Linked DNA regions of Astyanax mexicanus. The protein of the gene in region 2 purifies or fractionates together with the protein of the main gene of each other region. This does not show direct contact. Links are inferred from orthologs where the notes say so. Each region holds a gene or a part of one and is shown on either strand. Other genes may lie near its edges. The genes, in order: ufm1, cdk5rap3 and pip4p2.

Evidence for each region.
Region 1: the proteins of cdk5rap3 (region 2) and ufm1 purify together in Homo sapiens (co-immunoprecipitation; 3 studies listed by BioGRID and IntAct, with this or other methods). This does not show direct contact. The link is inferred for Astyanax mexicanus from reciprocal best matches to the Homo sapiens genes CDK5RAP3 and UFM1.
Region 3: the proteins of cdk5rap3 (region 2) and pip4p2 purify together in Homo sapiens (affinity purification with mass spectrometry; 3 studies listed by BioGRID and IntAct, counting the BioPlex papers as one, with this or other methods). This does not show direct contact. The link is inferred for Astyanax mexicanus from reciprocal best matches to the Homo sapiens genes CDK5RAP3 and PIP4P2.

Annotation. Positions count from the first base shown.
Region 1 is NC_064427.1:37,354,034-37,361,248, forward strand, and holds the start of ufm1 (ubiquitin-fold modifier 1), read left to right. Parts: upstream 1-4,109; 5' UTR 4,110-4,299; coding exon 4,300-4,301; intron 4,302-4,402; coding exon 4,403-4,459; intron 4,460-6,750; coding exon 6,751-6,808; intron 6,809-7,215. UniProt on the Homo sapiens protein: Ubiquitin-like modifier which can be covalently attached via an isopeptide bond to lysine residues of substrate proteins as a monomer or a lysine-linked polymer.
Region 2 is NC_064422.1:30,384,048-30,392,007, reverse strand, and holds the start of cdk5rap3 (CDK5 regulatory subunit-associated protein 3), read right to left. Parts: upstream 3,008-7,960; 5' UTR 2,857-3,007; coding exon 2,851-2,856; intron 1,896-2,850; coding exon 1,850-1,895; intron 1,700-1,849; coding exon 1,568-1,699; intron 1,222-1,567; coding exon 1,121-1,221; intron 1,040-1,120; coding exon 991-1,039; intron 884-990; coding exon 705-883; intron 1-704. UniProt on the Homo sapiens protein: Substrate adapter of E3 ligase complexes mediating ufmylation, the covalent attachment of the ubiquitin-like modifier UFM1 to substrate proteins, and which is involved in various processes, such as ribosome recycling and reticulophagy (also called ER-phagy).
Region 3 is NC_064410.1:40,374,086-40,381,933, reverse strand, and holds the start of pip4p2 (type 2 phosphatidylinositol 4,5-bisphosphate 4-phosphatase), read left to right. Parts: upstream 1-4,795; 5' UTR 4,796-4,895; coding exon 4,896-5,007; intron 5,008-7,848. Other genes in the region: si:ch211-250g4.3 (extracellular matrix-binding protein ebh), read right to left, coding at 718-966, 1,142-1,166. UniProt on the Homo sapiens protein: Catalyzes the hydrolysis of phosphatidylinositol-4,5-bisphosphate (PtdIns-4,5-P2) to phosphatidylinositol-4-phosphate (PtdIns-4-P).

The DNA.
Region 1 (7,215 bases), on a different chromosome or scaffold from region 2:
TACAATACGAAACATACTTAAACTCCCACTTCTTATCAGACAATCCATAAACTTGCGCAATAAGCCCGGGACAAATCTTTAACTATTGCATAACTCTCAGTGCCTAGTGGATGTGAGTTTAAAGAACCATCAGTAGTCTATTCTTCTCAGCTCCATCCATCGCCTCCAGGGAGGCTCCTGGCTCCAAGCCCTGATGTGCTCGCAGCAGGGTCTGCCCTCCCAGAATGACTCATTACACTCCAGCTTCCAGCTTCCATCACTGACAATATACTGACAAGCTTTACTCCCACTGATGCTCTTTTCAGGAGTGACAGCGGCTCAGACACAGCACAAACTTACTGTAGATGATTTCCAAGCTGCCAGAAAAGAAGAAAATATAGAACTGAGATGCCTAAATACGATCTTTCATAAGAGCCAGCAGGTGCTCACTTTGTTTAAGACAGGGATGTCAAGCTGGGTTCGTTCCAGGCCACCTATTTCTGAGCTTGGAGGTTGAACATGGAGAGGCTGTTCATTCCAGCTGGTAACGAGGAAATATGACTTCACTCTGTTTGGGTTAATGTTGAAAGATACCGCCCACTAAAATGAACAAAGGCTGGAGGTGTGGGGAGTACAAATTCTGGTTTCTGTTGCTGCAAACTATATATATATATATATATATATATATATATATATATATATATATATATATATATATATATATATATGTATATGTATCTCCAAAACAGCTAATTTACAGGAGAGAGAAGAAACCTTCTGAACTTAAATGGAAGTCAATGTAAAAAGAGTTTATGTCAGGTCATTTTGAGGTATTTCTATTGGTCTGTTCATCAAGACATTTTGGCACAGGGTAAGGCACAGTTTTTTTCTGTTCAAATTATGTAGTAAACTAAAACTCATTTTCTTTGGACAGTGATGATATATTACATGAAACAATACCAATACAGTGGCAAAAAATGTATGTGAACTGTTTGGAATTTCATGGTTTTCTGCAGAAAATTGGTTATTAAATGTGATCTGATCTTCATTCAAGTCAAATATATTGACAAATATATTGTGCCTAAAATAATAACACAAACATATATATGATCTTCAAGGTCTTTATTAAACACATTCATTCAACAATTAAAATAATAATCTCAATCAGGCACTTCCTGTAGCTCTGTTTCAGACCTGCACATTGTTCAGGAGGAATTTTAGCCCATTCTTCCTGGCAGAACTGCTTAAGCTCTGTCGTATTCCTTGGACATCTCAAGTGTACATCTCTCTTCAAGTGAACTCATAGCATCCAGTTCTTTGACTTGGCCACTCCAAAAGGTGGATTTTTTTTTTACATAGCCAATCTGTTGTTTTGGGTCATTGTCCTGTCGTAAGACCCAACTTCTACAGAGGTTCAGTTGATTTACAGACACTCTAACATTATCCTGTAGAATATTTAGATTTACTTGTTAATTCATCTTCCCCAAATCAGGCCCAAATCATGATGTTCCCTCCACCATGAGGCAATAGTCTTTCCACAAAACATTTTGCCAGTAACATTGTGAAGTGTCCATGTGCTTTTTCGCAAACTTCAGGCGTGCAGCAATTTTTTTGTTTGTTAGCAATGTCATCCTTTGTGGTCTCCTCCACAGACATTGTGCTTGTTCATTGTTTACAGATTTTAGTGTGGGATAAATATTACTACATATAAACTTTAATAAATACCACCACACATAGCTAGCCAGTTTTACAGTCTAAAAAAAGTGAAAAAGTGAAACAGTGAAAAATAATTATAATTTGTATATTATTATTAAGATAAGATCCATTTACCTTATAAAGGTTGAGCCTCCAATTTACAGTATTCCAATCTTTCAATATTCATGCAGGAGCTTGTTCTTATATAACTGGCTCGGCAGCTTTGCAAAGATGGCCACCAAGTAAACAGACTGTCCTATAAAGACTTTAGCACTGAACATGCTCCTATTCAAACCAGCCAATATCAAGCAAGACACATAACAACGATAACAATCTTAGTGTGCTCGCTAATTTGTTATGTGAAATAAAACTGTAAACTAAAACAAGAGCCTTGGTCTAGACTTTCAGGTGTAAAAATGCACTTACTGAACGTGTACTGTATTATCCACCAAATTTCCCACTTATAAACAAGATTCCTTTTTTACATGTCAGTAAACTGGCGTTTCAGAGTCTCCAGCACCACTTGAATGCAGCATAACACTCTCTGAAGGCCTTTCTAATTAGTTGTTGATATCAATCAGGTTAGGCTTAATGAAGCAGAACCCAGGAGTCTGCAGTGTGGTGGTCCACAAGGGCTGGAATCTGACACATGCAATCTAATGTGTGATGAGCATAACACTAGCAGTTGTGTATGTCTGTGTAAAAGGTTTCTCCCAATCTTTAGAAGGTTTTCTTGCAGTGTATCTCTGTAATTTGCAGCACCCATCCGTTATTCTGTAAAAAAATAATAAAACACAACAATTACAAAATCAATGTGTATTAATGCATATCCAGTGCCAGTCAAAATCAAATCAAAAACACACATTTTCATTTAAGGTTTTTAATTGTTCCTACATTGTAAGTCATCCAATCTATGAAGGAACACATAAGAAATCATGTGGTAAACTTACTATGTGAAGCATCTACGTGGTTCTTATCTGGGCTGTTGTTAACTTGTTGTTTCTGAGGCTGGTAACTCTGATTAATTTACCCTGTACAAGAGGTAACTCTTGGTCTTTCTTTTATGGGGAGGTCCTGATGAGAGCCAGTTTCATCATAATGTTTTTGATGGTTTTTGCGACTGCACTTGAGGATGCTTTTAAAGTTATTGATTTTTTTAATTAACTGTCCTTTATTTCTTAAAGTATTTTTTTTACTTTACTTAGTTGAGTAGTTCTTGTCATAATCTGGATTAGAACATTACTCAAATCAGGCTATTCTCTGTATACCTGTAACTCTACCTCTTCACTACTTTACTTTAACTGATGCTCTCAAACACTTTATTAAGAGACAAGAAAGTCAAGTAATTAACTCTTTGCAAGGTCAGAACAGCTGTTAACTGAAAGCCTCGCCACGTGACTCTACCTTATAAAGCTAAACAACACAACTAGACAACTTCAAAACGACTCTGAAAAGACTTGTAATAGATTAAGTTTAAAGACTTAAGTCTGATGTGGAATAAAACTAATCTCTATTTTTAATCTAAGCATAATTTCATTGGAAAATAAAAATTGTATTGAGGCCTCCCTAGTCCAAACTTTTGACTGGTACTGTAAATATCTATTTGTTAAAAAATAAAAATAAAAATAATAATAATAATAATCATTTACAAAAAATAATATAAAAGTGTAAAAACATATTACAGCAATAGAACAGCTTTATCTAATTTAATTGTTATGAAAAATCTCAATGTTTGGAATGTATTTAGATTTATTACATAATTTAAAACTGGCATCTGTCTTTTAAATGATGTCAGTAGGGCACAATAAATGGCAGATGCTTCAAAACCTTTTACTTTTTGTTTATTTATTTATTTATTTCACATTACTTAGTTACTAGCGGTTCATACATACATTTGGCCAAATACATTTGCCAATCATACATTTTTTTATTCATGTAAAACTACATGTTATTGGGAGCAAATATTATCACTGATTATTACTGTCCAAATAGACATGATTTTAAAAAATAGTTTTCCTTAGACCTTTTAGAAAACGATTAAATAATTAAAATAACGGTTTATATTTTTGTTTGACCATTTTTCTATTTTTCATTTTCATTTTATTTTTTATTTTTCTGTATTTAACAGTGTTATTTATAAAGCATGAAATCAGACTGTCAGAGACAAAAACTAGATAAAATTAAAAACGTCAACAAAATAAAAAGAACGCCATTTTTAGCTGATTAAGATAGCTAATTAGACTACTATAAGTGAAAAGAGTTCCAAACCACATAAATCATGAGTCGAATTTCCTGTGAACCAAAACTCTAGGAAATCCTCGATTCGCTTATACTCAGAGACTTACGGTAGAATAAGGGCACCAGTGAAAGTTGCCTGACCGCAAATACAGTTACAGCTTTTGAAATAAAACTGGTTTTAATGAGTTCACGCGTTTAAATTAAGAGTATGAGAGATAAATGTGGACTAACTGACAGAGTTCAGACTGCAGTGATGTGTGTGAAGGAGGAAAATAAGGCTGAAGCAGACTGACTCTGTTCTCTGAATGGGTGACGTGTTCTAAAGGGTCCTCGGCGCTGTTCCTGCTGGGTGTAAACAGTGTGCTGTTCACTGGCTCTGCATTAATCATGTAACTGTTCTTATTTTACCGCTTTAACTAACCCGGTTCAGGTATTATATACTGGGCCAGTTCAGTACCGAGCTGAATATATGTGTCTGTTTATGTTTTAGGTCTAAAGTAACGTTTAAAATCACCCTGACGTCCGACCCCCGGCTACCTTACAAAGTGTGAGTAACAGATCTCTCTTTCTCTCTGTTTATTATAAAAACACAGAGCTTATTTATCTTTATAAGGCAGTAATTTAGTTATTTAGCTAGTTAACGCTGTGTTTGTAAGTTCCATTCACGCACTCGATTGGTTGGCCTGCCGTTTTCTTAATGTAATGTTCTTAGTGTTAAGTTCATGGTAAATGTGACAGCTTTCATTAGACTAAAGCTAAAGCTCTTACAGTAGCTAGTGTTCGTACATTTTAACACTAACACATTTAACTACTTACAGCAGAGATTATTTTACCTAATAAAGTGACATTTAACTGTTTACAATTAACGTTACATGGAGAATGTGATTACTAGCCTAACTAGTTAGGATTAGCATTAGCTAACTTACTTCCATGCTACTATCTACCTAGTTAACCTAGCTAACGTAAAATTCCCACACATCTGCGGTAGGTAACTTAGTTAGCTAGCTAAATTCCAAATTCCTTAAAACAGAATATTTAAGCTGTTGATTAAAAAAAACAATATAGTGGGACAAATTCCAAACTTTACTTTCAGTCCTGTTTCCAAAGTCACTTAGGGTTAACAACGTTTTTTTCCTGAAAACACACAAAATAATTGACAGTTGTTATGGCTAATTACAAATTAGCAATTGTTTAAGAGGAATGTCGAGCACTAGAACCAACCAGAAATTATACTAATCCAACATTTAAAAAAATATTGATTGAAAAGACAGAAAACAGGAAAACAGGTAACATTTTAACAGCAGCTAGTTCGCAAGCTTACAACTCCCACACATCTTCATTAGCTAGGTTAGCTAAATAACAAATTCCAAATCCGCTGCATTAAAACAGAATATTCAAGGCTGAATTTTAAGCTGGTGATAAAAAAAAAAACAAGAAAGTGGAAAAAAAATCCACACTTAACTTTTCCTTAGTCCTGCTTCCAAAGACACACTTCCTAAAATATTCACCTAGGGTTAACTACGTTTTTCCTGGAAACACACAAAACATATGGCTGTTGTTGTGGCTATTTACAAATTAGCAATGGTTTAAGAGGATCGTCGAGCACTAGAACCAACCAGAAATTATCCTAATTTAACATTTAAAAATATATATATTGAAAAGACAGAAAACAGGAAAGCAGGTAACATTTTTGCAGCAGCTAGTTCGCTAGCTTACAACTAGCATCTGTATTAGCTAGGTTAGCTAAATAACAAATTCCAAATCAGCTGCCAGTTGTAAATGCCTTAAAAATCATTAATAATCAGTTATAACACATACGTAGAAAGGGCAACAATATAGATGGCTGTGAGTTCACTATTTGGCAAACAACAGGTCATTGTTGCTTTTCCTATGTATGTGTTATAACTGATTATTACAGATTTTTAAGGCATTTACAACCTAATTAATAACCATTAATAAACTAATTGTAAACCAATTAGAAACCCTTTATATAGGTAGTCTTATTTAAAAGTGGAACCGAAATGTCTATAGTAGTTGTGCAGTGATTCACAAAACTTTTTTTGAGTCAGTGGTTTGGTCATGGCTGTTTTTTAGGGTTATAACACTAGCCAAAAGTTAGCCATGTACAAGTTTAAAATGCTACGATAATAATGCTACAGTCGAGTGCTGTCGTAAACCAGGAAATACTACTGTTTGTATCACTTGTAATTTACACTGGAACAGCCAGTGAGTTCAGAATTGTGTCTTTTTGTTATTTTAGGCATCTCTTCTTGTCTGTAGTATATAGAATAAAACGCCAATGTTCATTTTACTCAAACATAAACCTATAAATCTGTATAAAAGCTGTTTTTTCTTGTTTTTTTTTTTATCTTATTTAAAACCTTTTTTTAAATAGCAATTATTTGACAAACCTGAATTTACCTGTTTGTGCTGAATCATAATTTAACCAGGTAAAGCATCATGTAGGCAATCAAGCTAAATTTAAAATATTTTTTTAAAGCATGAAAATGCTAGAGCGCCACAGATTTTACATCACATTTGAGTGTGAGACTGCACAACAGACATGATTTGAAGTATAAATTGGCATTATCATCCACATTGGACACATTTGCTAAATGAGCTGTTAGTGGCTGAATGGTCTATCTGCAGATTTAGATGCTTTGAATATGGATTTTGTGTTGTTGTCTGAGATTCCTGCTGTTTGTCTGGCTTTGAGCTATTCCACTCTTTAAATGAAGCGTGTGTTGATCATTTTGATGATGCTTTAGGAGGAGATCTGATCACTGCTCGGCATGTTTGGTGCTTAGGCTGATTTGCTTTCATCTTTTACTGTTGCAGATTAAGTGTCCCTGAAAGCACGCCCTTCACGGCGGTGCTGAAGTTTGCAGCAGAAGAGGTAACAGATTTTTTTTTTATAATTGCAAAGTAAAAGCTTTTGCATTTTGATGAAACTGTTGAAAAAGAGATTTAGCTTAATATTGGTGAGCTTGCTTTGAGTGTTGACACTGGCCCATCTGTCCCTCTAATGATGCGTTGCCTCGTTTTCACATTAGTCCGTCCCGTTCAGGAGCGATAAATGATTCCTCACGCAGAGAGCTTCAGGCTGATAGTATTAAAGGCACTGCATACCTTGTGTGTGCTAAATTAATTGGGTATGTTTAAAAAGGAAATTCACCAATTTCTTTTTGCAGTTTTTGCATATTTTAATCATTAGCATGTAAACAAATCAAGTGTGAAATGCTCCAGACATCTTAAAAGAGTTTTCTGCTTCTGAAATCTATGAAATAAACTGTTTTTATTGAA
Region 2 (7,960 bases):
ATTAAGAAATTTGATTAATTAGCCAGAAAAATGTCTAGACCCTCGTCATCCATACATCTTAATGAACGGTGAGTTGTACTTAGTATGGACCAGGTTTTGACCACTGCCATTTACCATTGTGCGGCTGGTCCATTTTTTGCCTTTTGATAGAAGTCAAGCTCAGAAACACCCACACCTGTATAAATTGTGAGAAGTTTGGAGTGTCTTGTGAGTGTGGATAATCAATGGTCCGCATTTGGGTGACAAGTCTTCATGAATTATTAGTGACATGAGTTTGAACACGGCTTGATAGTGGATGGTGGATGATGTGCCATTCCATTTCGGGCATTTAACATTCAACATTCAATCCATAGTGTCACCGGTGTACTGAGAATACATAATACAGGGCATTACCAACCACAGTGGACAGGGCACTGGGCGGTAATGATCACGACCTGTGCTGTCTGGCTAGAGCTGTTAGTGAGAAAAGAAAAGCGAATATGGAAGAAATTCCATCAAGATTCAATGCAAAACATATACATTACACATGCAGGTCAGTGCAAAAGTCATGGGGCATGATACTAGTTCCCTAGCACTAGTGGATCTTCAGCGCAACCCCACACAGGTCTTTGGACTACTTAAAAGCAGAAGAAAGTCCATAACCATGTCTGCCTTGTTTTTACTTGCTGAAATTTTCCAGTTTCTTAAATAAACTTTGATCTTACCGCAATGCCATACTGCTTGCAGGCAGCATAATAGTGGTCCCTCATGTCTGCAGCTCCGCTCTGGCACTCTACCTCTCGTCTGCTCAGCTCCTGCTGCAGCTGCTGGGCTTTAGCCACTTGCTTCCTCAGAGCAGGACCTTCATAACTCACATTGCGGCTCAACAGACTGGCCAGTTCAGCTAGACAGACATATCAAATCACAAAAATGGTAGTTCATAACAGTTATTAATTCTTAAAAAATGATGTCAAATGTCAAATATGGCATGATTCCTTGACCATCACTTACCTAGATAAGCATTGTCTTTCTCATAAAGTGATATTATTTCCTGCCAGTCCTGTTGACAATGAACAACAAAAATTTAGAGTAATGAAATAAGTCTATACATGCACACGTGTAGCAACAGTCACATGGTCACCTTCATCCTTTGTGATGAATATCTGCCGAATATATTTTTGGAAGAGGCTTCTGTTCCTTTCAGTAATTCAACTATCCTCAGACAGTGGAAGTAGTGAATATCTGGATGACACAAATATTAAAGGTAATAGTGAACAACAGAAAGCTGACCATGGTAACAGCAAAAGTGTTTAAACGCATTTAAACAAGCTATACTCACCTGGCCACTAATACATACAAACATACATACAAACTGATGTCCAGATTCCAATGGCCTTTCATTTATTACATGCCATTTAGATATAGTGTCTAAATTAGATATGACTAATATTATATATATATATATATATATATATATATATATATATATATATATATATATACAGATACATATACATATATATATATATATTGATCTATCCCCTTTTAAAATAAAAGTTTCAACAAATCAAGCATTTATGCCACTTACATGAGCCTGAGAGCAGCTGTCTGATCTCTTCATTTTCAGGCATATCCTGGATAGCAGCATTAATCTTCTCTCTGATGGTCAGTGCTGTACTCTGCCATTTCAGGGAAGTGTGTCTTCTATCCACCAACCAGTCTAAGGAGTTGAAGGAAGCAACTCAGTAGCAGCACATTGAAAAGCTTTAATTGTTTTTGTTTATTTCACAGATTATACAACTCCTGCTGAAGTACAGAATAAGCACAAATATTTACAATTCATATTTATAATAAAATATAGAAGACTTACCCAGAAGTTTACTGGTTTGGATGTCAATTGGGAGATTCTGGATATTCTGCAAGCATTAATGACAAGAAAGTGTCAGACTGTATAAAAGCACTGGTCTTGGTAGACAGTTGTTTACTTTTTCCTAATATTTCTTACTATGTGCAATGTGTAGCATTCTCTTGTGCTACACGTGTATTGCATAGTCTATTGATCAATAATATGTACAATGTCACTATTTATTTGCTATTTATTTACTTACATACATATTGCAAACGTATTGGAGGAACCATGTTTTGCCTATATTTTAAGGTTTTTTTGTGATTTATATCTTGTATTGTTAGGTTCTCTTGTATTTATGTTTATAGACATTTTATTTCATAATGTTGTGTGCCTTCTGACACTTCTGTTTGTCCTCTGCATTGCTGTTACTCTACAAATTTTCCCATTGTGGGATTAATAAAGGCTTATCTTATCTTGTATTATCTTATTACACAGCAAAATCACTGCAAAATTAAACCATACATTTGGACTGTTACTGTATATATGTCCAGTTTACTGACACTGACTTTAGGGGACGTTATCACAGAATCACATATTTCTATTACAAAACAACAAAATATCGCAATGGTCCTGGTGCACGTATTACTAGCTATATACGTGTGAAAAAAAACCTTGAGAACTCAGTGTTGTTGCTTAATCCTATAAAAGCTGATTTATAACTGTTTTCTATACACAGATGACAGCTGGCTCCAATAAACATGGAACATATGGATCATCATATACAATCCAACTACTAGATCTTTCTCATACTTTTAGGACTAATTTAACTTACCTAACGTTACTTATTATACTATATTATCTGTTTGTTCGTTATTTAAACTCCGGCTTTTGCCCCACAGACGTTGTCAAAAGTTGTCAAGCCCTGGTGCAGCTAGCCTAGCTAGGTAACACTAAATTACTTACCCAGTTAACTTTAACTATATAAAACATTAACAGAGAAACTCGTGTTATTCTCACATTACCTCCATTGTGTCCGAGGGTTTCTTGAATTCCCCTTTTTTAAATAAATTGATATATAATAAGCTACATGTCCATCAGATTCTTTAGACTCGATATAAACGCAGATTTCGTTTATATTGCTACTGACACGTATTACACAGCCAACCAATCAGAGCGAGTCTTCAAACGTTATTTTCTAAAAGGGACCAATGAGCAACAGCGATAGTACGGGGGTCTGTTCTGTGAGCAAAGCACTTCAGTGTTGGAATCCTAACACTTTTCAAAATAAAAGACACCAAATATTACCAGTCAAAATTAGGACACATCTTAATTCAGTGTTTTTTCATTGTTTTAACATTTTTTTATTAATCTACAATAAATACTTAATAAACAAAAAGCAGAATATGTATTTTTTGAATATATTTCCAAAGTAGCACCTTTTGCTTAAATGACAACTTTGCACATCTTGGCTGGATTTTCTCATTCAGCTTTATGAGGTAGAGTCACCTGTAATGACTTTCAGTTAAAAGCGTTGCTGAACTTATCAAGAGTTAATAACTTGAAATTCTTGCCTCTTAATGTATTTGAGAGCATCAGTTGTGAGGCAGTCAGTCAAAAATATAAGTATCCTTGAGTGCAAAGACCACTTTATGAAGGAAATGAAGGAACTGGCTTGCATCAGGACCGCCCTAGGACACAGGGTAAGTTACCAGACACAGAAATCGCGAGAGTATTAAGTAAGTTTGTTTTTAATTCTTGACTCCGGATGTCTTCCCTCCGGATGACTTCACTATTAATTTACAATGTGGGGGAAAAATAAAATAAAATAAAATAATAGAATGAGAAGGTGAGTCCAGACTTTTCTTTCTTTCTTTCTTTTTTTTTTTTTTGCAAAAAAAAGTTATTCTAAGTCCTTATATATCAATCAAGACATGTTTGGTCACCAAATACTTACACTGGAGTTCAGTCATTTTTAAATATTGCATTTTAAAGTAGCATTAAACTAATTTGTACTGAACCTAAATGTGCCTTTTTAATTTAATGATGCTAGCTGATGTAAACCCTATTTGCAGATAATCTGATTATTGTATTTTTTTCCAGCAGTCTAGATAAAGAAAAACAAATGTTTTTAATTTTTAGTACATATATCCAATAATAATACTACTAATACTAATACTACAACAACTACTACTACTACTACTAATAATAATAATAATAATAATTATAAATAAGAGGTGAAACATGTATTGTTGTGTTACTTATGTTTTTACTTATGTGTATAAAACCACATTAGATGCTTTAAAGCGCACGAGACGTGTAAAAACGCACCTATTGCGTAAAAACGAAGGTCGCGAGTAATTACGCACCATATGCGTAAAAACGCACGTCATGCACATGTAGGCCCCTGACGCATTAAACGTACAGGCTAAGAGTAAAATCACAACAGCTGTAAAAACGGGACTACACCTAACAGTAGACATTCTGTTATACTGTAATGCTAAATATTAATCTAATAAATGGATCTGGACCCTGTTATCCTGGACAGCCAAGGGAACCTCTGTGGCATCCAAACGATGTATCTGTTTAACATTTTGACAGGATTTAAATCTGGTAACTGCTTTTAAACATTTATCAGTTTTAGAAAAAAACGTTTGCAATAAAAGTTAGCATAGGTATAAACATACAAAAGGCTTCACGGAGATGAGAAAAATTGTCCACAAGGTGGCATTGTCTTCTAACTATTTATCATTATAACAAAAGACAGTTTGTAATCATTAAAACCAGTGCTTGACTATTGTTCTATGAGTAAATGACTTGTCTTTGGGTGATAAGCTAAACATATCCCTGCTGGATGTTGTCTCGGTCTGTGTTTCAACAAGAGAAGCTGGTGTTTTTGGATTTGTGTATATTTTCATTTTTTAAAGTTTCTGCAGCTCTTCTGAAATCACATGCATTTCCACAGTCAGTTCTTATCCCATGACTGTTAGAGTACATATCAGACTGTGTATTCTAGATACAGTATATCTGTGTGTGTCAAGACTACAGTAGATAAAGGGAATAAATATGTATCAGTAATAAATCATTAAATCCATTTCCCAAAAATATGACAAATGAAAGGATAATTTAACAATGTCCAGAGAAAAACACATATCTTCATTTTTGTAGATTTTTAATTTGCAGCATTCTTTGATCCCAAGAGCATTCCTTCACATTGTTTAAAAATTAATTGAGTCTAACAATAGAAACGAAAATTAATTTGCAAGATCAGATAAATATATGTTTGAAGAACAGAATGTATAGTTTTAAGAAATTAACTCTTTAAATACTCCAAAATTACTGGAATATGATTGGAAGTTTTTGTTTCTCCTGTAAAGTTTGAAAAAAAAAAAAGAGATTTGGAGATTTGTGAATAACATAAGAGGGGTGGGTTTGGTGAATGTACTTAATTCCAAAACTTCCTAAACATTTTTGTAAAGCCTTAATACTGTATTTCGGGCATGTCTGTACTTGAGCTCTGGTATTGTCTGTATTAATAACTGCTTTGTCCAAGGCTAATGAGCTTAGCGTAGTCAAGAATTCAGCCAGGCTTTTAAGTTTGCCGTGCACAGGAGTATCCATTCCCTCTTTCTTGTTTCCTTATTGTTTAGTTTGACTCAATCCATTCAAATCACGCAGACACACTGTCGCTTGTGGGACAGAGTGTAAACCTATGGCCCGCCTTTATTATGTCAAGCTCACAAAGAGATATTTGGTCTCCTGTGCAGTGACTGCCAGCTTCTTTGTCTGTGTGGTTTTGCTTGTGCACTGTACAATATTCAGGGTATTGAATACAGATACTGGTGCATCTGCTGTCTGTAGGGGTCCGGTTTGCTGACTAATCTAAATATTAACAAAGCTCAAAGTTTCTAGAGCTAAAATGACAAAAAAAAACATTTTTGGACTGTATTTAGTAAAAATCTATATTTAATTATAAATTTTAATTTTCTTACTGTATCTTGTAAATGACGTATTGTGACAGTTAAGCAGAGCAATCTGCGATACTCTTTTACTTTACATTTGAATAGCAGGCAAACCTTCACTTATCAGAGTTGGAGATCCATTATCTGACTGTGATTTCTCCCACATCATGCAAAAGACTGAGAGCCGGCTCTGTGGAGGCCTCGCAAAAACAAACGATGAAGGAGTCTGATTTATTCACAAGCTTTGGCAGAATGTAATGTGGTTTATGAAAATCGTCAACTACCTTTGTCCTAAATGGTTAGTTGCCATTTTTCTTTATGTTTCTTCTTCTTTTCAGTGTTATAATGTGCATATTTATGAGACAGAATGAGCCCTAGCAGAATGGCCATTGAAATGCCAAATGTCATGGGACAGGAACTAGCATCATGCCCCTTGACTTTTTCCATGTTCCATTGAAGCTGCATTAAATGTGCAAGAATATGCTTGCACATGCAGGTCTAGCCAGCCACTGTAGGTGATAATGCCTTGTATGATTTATTCCCAGCAAACACGTGACACTGTGGACCAAGTGTTAAATTCCTGCAAAATGTTCCATTCATCTGGCACTTACTATTAAGCCTCTTTCAAACTCTGATGAATCACAGCGCTTTGTCTGAGCACAGTGGCCGGTGTTCAACTTTACTCACAAGGTAACACCTCACAACTTATACAGGTGTGGCCATTCCCAAGCAGTTCCCTGATGAAAAAGTTTATTATCATTTGATATACTGCTCTGCTATCCCATGACTTCTGCATGCCAGTGTATAGTAACCTATTATTATTGTCTTTGCAGTATTGAGTGAATCAGGCAATGCTTGTTCTCCTCAAATGCTACAGAAAAAGCACAATGGTAGACATACTGATCTCTGTAAAACTTAATATTTACATGCCTTTAAACTCTGTGTTTCTTTATGTCATTTGTAATGTGAAAAGTGTTAAAGTTTCTTCAACCAAAGCAGTAAAAAAAAAAGGTGTCAACCGATTAAAATATAATCACGTTAATCACATCAACATTCTGTGAAGAATCATGATTAATCACAAGTTAAAATGCTCATACTTCCTTTTATATAAATGTAGTGTGGTATGCATTGCAAACTGGCATACCAAACTGGCTAAGTAAACCTTTTACACTTTATTATAATAGCTCAGTTTAGTTTTAATGATTTTTTTTATTATACAGAGAGAAGTAGAAGAAGAGGAGGTAGGTGTTAGAGAGTGAGTGTTAGTTACGAGATTTAATCTATATTTTAATATTAACAAAATTCATTTTATTAAAATGTTTAATTAATTAATTAATTAATTAAACATTTAAAAAGTAAACAGTTGCAATGCTGGGTTTAAATTGCTAGATAAAACTAAGGATATACAAATGCATAACCAGACACTATAAATAATACATTATGGAAAGAAGTTGAGGTCAAATATGATAAATGATCAATTTTCCTTGAAATTACATTCAAATGTATCACGTTTCATGTTCAAAGAAGTAGATAGATAGATAGATACTTTATTAATCCCCAATGGGGAAATTCATTTGTCCAACAGCACACAAATAATAAGTACTTTGTTGTTTGTATTTTTTTCTCTTGGTGCTGAAAAAAAAACTGGAACTACTATAGTTTGACCACCAGTGTAGACTTCTTGATGACAGACATTTAATTAACAGGAACCCCAAATGTGCTTTTTCCCCCCTCAGAACGTTAAGTACCCTTTTTATTTACCATGCCAATTTTATTTACCATGCCAAGTCAACATTGCACTCCCGCAGGATTGGCTCAGTTTATTGGATGCAGCCCTCCCCCTTTCACTCACATGGCTGTAACATTTACTCAAGTTGCAAAGGGCTGTCCCTAATGTTCAGCTTGGACTGCAACTCTTGTGGGAGGCTGCATCAGCTAGATAGGCTGTGTGCATGTGTGTGTGTGTGTGTAAATCTGGCAGATCATGTCAACACCTGAGCACCAAATGAAAGCATTCAATCACAGTGAGATTGATTAAGAACGGAGACAGACACAGACAGACAACCTTCAAAGATCTTGACAGAGACATTGTGCACAAGAAAAGAAAAGAAAAGAAAATAAAAGAAAAAAGAAGAAAAAAGGAAACAGCTGGTAGATGATACGTGCAGCAAAC
Region 3 (7,848 bases), on a different chromosome or scaffold from region 2:
AATTTTACATCAGATTTGTAATGTGTTTTTTCTTTTGCTCTAATAATGATGAATCCCATTATTCCCATAAATCAGAAAACTCCATATATATTTCTGAATATCATAATCTTTCTAAAATCTGTGTAAAACATTTTAGAATTCAAAGTGTCTGTGTTGCAGAAAACTATATTTGCCCATATAATCAAAAAATAAATAAAATCCTAATAATTGCAAAATATACACAATTCTTTCATAACCTTTCATCACCATAGATTCAACACAGAATGAGGAACTGTGAAAGGGTCTATTTGGACTTCTATGTCCTGTACTATTGTTCACAACCTGGACATCTGTCTGTTAAACATTATTATTAGGCTATTAGTGTTATCAGGCTACTAACTGCATTTTTTAAAAACAAAGTTACCGTCAGGTACAAAACAGCATTGCATTGTGAATACAAAATTAGGGTCCAGGAACAAATAAAACACTGGGTGTACAGGCAAGAAAAAAATGTATCAGGGCCCTTGCAGGGCTATTACAGTATTTAATGTATTTAGTAGTTTTAAGTGCTGTACTTAAAAATATAAAAATAATCTTGTTTGTCTTAAGTGTTCACATTTTGTAAAATATTTATGAACAGATACTGTTTTATAAAAATGTATTTGCTGTGTAATTACTGCTTGATATAAAGATGGATACGAGTAGGGAAATACTGTAATAACTGTGAAAAAAACTCACCCAGCTCTTGAATAAGTTCAGGCTCAGTCATTCTCAGAATTAGATGGAAGGACACTCTGTGTTGGGAAGGTTCTCTTTCCAGAGCCTCAAACAGCAGCCTCATCGCTTCTTGCTCAGTAGGAGCTGTTTCAACTTGACGAGCTGCTCTGTCATGGATCAGGTTTTGGGACAAGACCGCCTCTATGATGTCACTGACTCGTGTTGCTCGTACAATGATCTGCTCCTTGAATTCGGCGAGGAAGTCCCCAACTAATGGGTACACACATTCAGTTAAAGCAAGTACATTACACTGAAACAGCAAATTAAAACAGCATTTATATTATTTTCAACAGTAATTAATAATAATAAATACAAAAAAAATCATTGTTCACAAAGGCTGCAATGTGTATGTTCTAATATTATATATTGTTAGATCAAAGTTTACCGTAATCTCTAGATGCTTTGGACATGCTTTTGGCTGCTTTGGACAGATTGCCTGGTTGATCAGATGTCCCTTTAATGCTTGATCTGGTATTGCACACTAGGGAGAAATATTATTGCCCTTTATGATTTTTTTAAGCTGACAATTTAATCACTAGAAACATTGCAAAAATTAAAATATATGCATGTAACAGTTTTTTAAAATAATAATGTTTAGTTTAAATGTCATTTCTAAAACATGAGACATAGCATTTGTTATATAATCCGAGACATTTTTGTAGAATTAATTTGTAGCATTTTTACAAAATTTGATAAGACTCTTGTGCATTAGTTCCAAATACAAGAAAAACTATTAGATAGTGACTAATTATTTAAAACCATATAACATTTTAACCTGTGCATGTCTATAATTTAGGGAAAAAAGTTATTAAACCAACCATTTATATACAACAACTAAATGTCCCTGAACTTATGTATTGTTATATATTTGCTATAGTTGTTATATACATTCTTATTTCATGGACATCAATGTGTAATGAAACAGAATGCTGTTTTGTTCTTATGTTCTGTTTACACAATTAGCGAATTTTATTTTGTTGCTCAATTAATTAGTTGCAAAATAACAAACTAATCTTTAGGTAGACATATACAGGCTTTATATTTACTGAATAATATTGTAAAAAAAAAAAAAAAAAAAAACTTACCTTACGAAGCCTGCCTTTTTGGTTAATCAGACTGAATTAACTCTGCAAAGTGTAGTGGTCTGGTGGTTTAGCCATGGTGGTAACCAAACAAGTGACACTACTTTGTCAAAAACAGCTTATCTTGTTTTTCTGTACTCTTGGTGATCGCTTCATTTGGTGCCGAAACATTTGCGAGTTCTGCCTTACCATTCCTCTGATTGGCTGCGAGGGGTAAAGGGTGTGCTTTTATGCCAGTCTGTTTTTCTCTGATAAGGTGGGCTTCCCTGACTTGGGACAAAGCCAAGATACACTCCTACACTCATGATAACGTCCACACCCCTGTGTGTATTACACTTAAAACTCTTTTCTGCATGTTTTAACATTGACTTTTAACTTCTGAATAACTGTCAAAGGAAAGTAAGAATAACTAGGACTGGCTGATTTTGAGTCTTCATCTAATTTTTTAGAACACAATGGCGCAGACGAATCTTAGATAATATGCAGATGTCTCCAAAGTTAATAATAATTCACAATTAATTAAGAAAACCTGTCCCCCCATACAGCATGTTTTAGACACTATTTAATTCCTATCACCTGTCAGGAAACAACTGAAAATATTTATTATTTTGCTGTAGCAGAGATCATGCCAGTGTTAAAATATTTTGCCATATTTAATCAAAACTGTTAATATTTGGCTAACGGTATGACAATACATTTTTTACCAAGTTAAATAACTGTAGAAAGTGTTTTTTTTTATTATTTCTGTTATCGTTTGTGTTATTCTTTAGTTCAGTAAGTTTTTACATCTGTTCTAATAGAGAAGCAAAATGAAGATGTTATGTGATTATTATAAAAGTGCAGAGACATAAACAGTCCAGAAGGGGGAGTTATAACACTGTGGAGCACTGCCAGTGCAAAATGTTTGCTTTATTTGTGGGGTTGTTAAAATAATTAAAATATCTACTAATACATTATCAAAATCTAAGAGCCAGCAAAAACTGAATTAGTGAGCAGAATCAAGCTTTTGAAATGCTGTTTCTCCCTATTTATACTGTTTTGCAAAAAGTGAAATTAGAACAAGTAGCACAGAAAATTAATCCTGCAGGCACGTAACAGCATTAGACGTTATCATCATGAGGTAAACTTTTTATCATCTGACCTCATGACCAACATTCAACCTAAAATTAATGACTATTAATATTGGTGGCCAGCTGGGAACTTGTTTCAGGTGATTTAATTAGATATTAATTCAAACGGTAACCGGATAGAAACTGATATTGCAAAAGCAGCGTGTAAGACTGGAGGAGAACATGCCAAGATGCATGAAAACTGGTATTAAAAAAACAGGGTTATTCCTCCAAATATTGATTTCTGAACTCTTAAAACTTTACGAATATGAATTTGTTTTCTTTGCATTGTTTGAGGTCTGAAAGCTCTGCATCTTTTTTGATATTCCAGCCATTTCTCATTTTCTGCAAATAAATGATCTAAATGACAATATTTCTATTTGGAATTCGGAGAAATGTCCGTAGTAAACATAAGTTACCTATAAATAGCAAAATAAAATAAAATTATGCAGAGCTATATTGAGGGTTAAATTAAATTTCGAATTAATTAATTTCGAATTTAATCCGTGTTGGTGACGAGGCTGGAATTAGCTTCGTATTTCCAGTTGCCACACAGATAGCTAACATAACTAGCTAACCAGCTAACGTTAGCATTGCAGCTAGTTTGTTTACACTTTATTAAAAGTACATGAATATATTGAAAAATAAATATATTTTCTTATTAGACTAAATATTTCACTTTTTATTAAACCTAACATTATAACAGCATTGTAAACTAAATTAGTTCAGCTTCGCTGGTTACATGGCCAGCTAGTTAACGTTAGCTAACTAAATAGCTAGTTAGCTTAGCTAGCTGGCTCACTAACCTAACTAGCTAACCTAAAGTCCGTTAGGAAATTTAGCCTAGATTAGACAGGTTAGCAAGTTAGATAACCTAGCTAAAGGTCTAACCACTGTAAAATGTACTACAACCTATTAAGTAAAATTAAGTGAAGTAAACTATATAAGCTATTTATAACTTTCCTCTTAGGTTGCTGCTTAAGCGGTGATAGTAGTCCTGCTGAACACACAAACCAGCAGGCGAGCTCCAGCCGCTCTTTTTCCTCAGGACATTAATCAGGCAGTTGGCGCGTGACCAAATCTCAGATTTTGATTGGCTGAACACATTAATCTGCATTGAAACTGGCCAATACAGAACAGGAGTGATTTGATTATTTAATCAGAAAAAGAAGCACAAATGATTAATTCAGTTTAATTAAAGTAGGATGTTGGAATGTTTTAAACAGCTATAACACATATACCAGAGAATAAGACCTTCAGAATGGCAAAGTGAGCACATTACAGCAAAGATAATTCTAAGTACATTAACAGTCAGATGTTACAATTGTTTACATTGTTAATTTAATGTTGCAGAAATTAAAATATATTTATTTTTTATCTCATTTGGAAATCAGGTCTATTTTACTGTTTTCTCGCTTATCTACTTAGATTTTTATATATTGAACAGGATTAATACCTCTATACAAAACAGTGGAGAGATTTAGGTACCAGTAGGCAATATTTGACAATATTTGTATTTGAAAGTTAGGAGGAATGTTGTCTGTAGTTTAAAGAATAAAGCAACAATATTAATTTTACATAAATATATACCTAAAAATTGCAAAATCAGAGAAAGTGATTTAGAAACTGAAGTGGTCTCTTAATTTTCTCCAGAGCTGTATGTGGCCCCTTGGTAAAAAAAAAAATTGCCCAACCCTGGTCTAGTGCTATCTGGGTGAGGGACGCAGAGGTGTTTGTTTGTTGGTGAGGGCCAGTAGGGGGCTTCCCCACCGCTCGGTGTCGGACCCCGGTTGCGTCACTGGCCCCGCCTCCTGCTGGTGCTGCTGGAGCGGTGCTGGATCTCCGCTGCCCCCCCATTTCCACAGCGGAGCGTGTGTGAGTGTGTGTGTGTGGGGGAGATCGTGTGTTTGTTGTGTTTTTGTTCTGCTCAGTCGGACCCGCTGTAAGGATGGCCTCCGACGGTATGGACGAGCGCTCGCCGCTGCTGCCCGGACAGAACTCGGGCAATGTCACGCCCACAGCGCCGCCGTACCTGCAGGAGGGCAGCGGCAGCCCGAGAGGTAGGAGCGGCGGACGCCGAGCTGCTGAATCATTTTTGGGGCGTAGCGGCCGCAGAGAGTGCCGCCCGCCGCACGGAGCTCCATCCGCCGCGCAACACGATGCGGCCGAGGCCTGGGAGAGCGGAGGGGGGAAGAGGCAGGGCAGGGGAAGAGTAAATACAGGGAGGGAGCGAGGCCTGAGAAAAACGACAGTGCTGCTGTAGATTGGTCTGAGGCTTATTGGAGTGTAGGTTACATTATAATAATAATAATAATAATAATAATAATAATAATAATAATAATAATAATAATGATCTGTATAATAAACACTACCGTAAGATAGCCTGGGTGTAGCTACAGGCTGCAATCTGACACCGAACTGGGGGCCATGTACTGAAGGATAGAGGGTGTTGCAGCACTACAAAAAGCGTCACACTGGAGTTATTGCACATTAAATTGCACTGGTCAGTTCTGTGAAAGGCCCTTTCCAGCGTTTAGTGCTGAAACACAACAGTAAACAGAGGAACTAGCGCACGGATTTATAGGTGGAGTCCATACACAGGGAGTAACAAACCAGGCGAGCTAGCCTAACCTACCTGTGTGCTTTTCCATTCATGAGTCCACCTTGAGTAAGCCGTTTTTTCCTAAAATCAGAAATCTAACTCTTATTTCATTGCTAATATCTCTAATTACCTATAATGTATTACACAGACAGCTATGAAACTAGTGATAAGATCAAGTACACAGACCTATAGCCTAAATCCTCTTAGACTAGACACATTATCATGCAAACATTTCCTTACTCTAATTCTGATTAGTCATATGATACCATTAGTTTACATAGAATTTCTTATCTATAATTATGTTGTTAACATGTAAAAAATCAGATGCAGGTGTCTGTAATTCCTACTAATAAAAAGCTCTACTGTTCAGTACTGTTATTTGTACTAGTCAAAACTCAAATTACATATATCTAAAATGATATTTAGCAAAAAATATGTTAACATACACAAAATGCACATTGCAACTAGTCAAAACTACACAAGAGATTGTTTTTATTATTAGTACTAGCCTGAATTCACTTAGCTACAGATATGAGAAACTTCTGCAGTCTTGCTGTCTTGTATGAATGGTTCCCCACGTTTACACTATTCATGAGTTTCTACACTCAACAAACATGGGTTAGACATTTTCAGTGTCAAAAGTTAGCTTTTGTGATTTGCCCCAGAGCTACAATGTTAATGTAGCTCTGAATTATAAAGGTAGCTTCAGTGCAATACCCCTGTAGTCAACATCATTGTCAGCATTGGGAGCAACTTAAAAGTAGCAGAATGCAATTAGTGTTCACAAACATATGGTGTGATGTTATTAGTGACAACGCCTTTAACCCACCTGTTCAGTGAACAGATACTGTACATATACACTAATAAGCAAATATGCCCAGAACAGTGGGCAGCTATTGCCCTGGCATCAGAGAGCAGAGTGGTCATGGGGACCACAGTTGGGCCTTGCTCAAGAAACCCCAACCATGACAGCTTTGCTAACCTGGGTATGAAAACCTGTTATTTTGTTTATACTCTTTCATAGTTTTCCGGTTAAAGAATGATTTATTTTCTTTTTGCCATTTGAAGGGATATTTTTTGCTTTTTTCATTAAACATGCCATATTTACACAGAATATATAGGTATGTTGTCAATGACAAAGATATGCAGGTTTAGAAATGTTACCTTTGAACATTATGATGTGGCTTTACTTTCTGTCCTGGTATTTCTTACCCCTGGATTACTGCTAATTTAGTTCTTTTTGACCACAGTTTCATTCGCATTCTGTCTTTAATAGGGATTACCTGGGCTCTGGTCACGACAGAACAATGTATAGCACTTTGTTGAGACACAATTAGCGTTGAAATGTTGGCAGAACAGCTGGTTTAAGACCAGTACACTTATTGGTCTGATATATGTGAACTCTGGCTATTACTGACACAGAACTGATTCTTATTGCATTGTAATCTACATTCATTCTCTTAATGCCTCAACATGAAATCGTTGCAACACCAGTAGGCCACAGCTAGTCCAAAAGCCCTCTGGTAAAAGAAAACAGATAAAAACAGGTATGCCCATACATCTATCCTAAATAGAACCATTGCATTTACTGAAGAACCATATTTCCATATAAGGACATAGTGCTTGAAAATGTTGAATTATACTCTTGTGCATGTGCCTACATCATGAATCCTGTGTTGTTGTTTTTTGGATTATTTATCTCTCTTAATTCCTTAAAATTGAATATGTTGTTTTGTTACGACACCTTTAAAACAGATATACTGTATGTAAAAGGCCTCTGATCTGAATGGCTTTTCTGCATATGAACAATGTTACATATTCTGTAACCGGCAAAACATTGGGCAGCCCTGGCCAAAATGTCTATTACAATGAATAGTTAGAGCCCATGAGCATATCTCTGAAAGACATAAAGTTAATTACTATGCGTTTCTTTCATATTTTAGGGAAAATTTGGATCTTGTATAGTAAAAAAAACGAACCAAAAAATTGGGGGCCAAAGCAAATAATAATGCTTTTAGGTCAGAGGTCTGTGGGGGGCCATAGCATAACCTAGAGTTTTTACCTGTTAAGATCATTGTAAGTTCATTATGGATTTTGAGGTGTGTTTATGGTCATTTTCAGCATTATTCAGTTCATTATCCAACCTTATTGACCCACTCCTGCTCTTCACAATTGGAGAGTTGTTCTTTTCAAAGATTTTCCCCCACATTTGTTTCCCAAATATTTCACCTTTCGTAGTGAGGAAGCGGGAAAGATTATCTTTTGATGACTCTTCCATGAAGGTAATATATGTGTCACT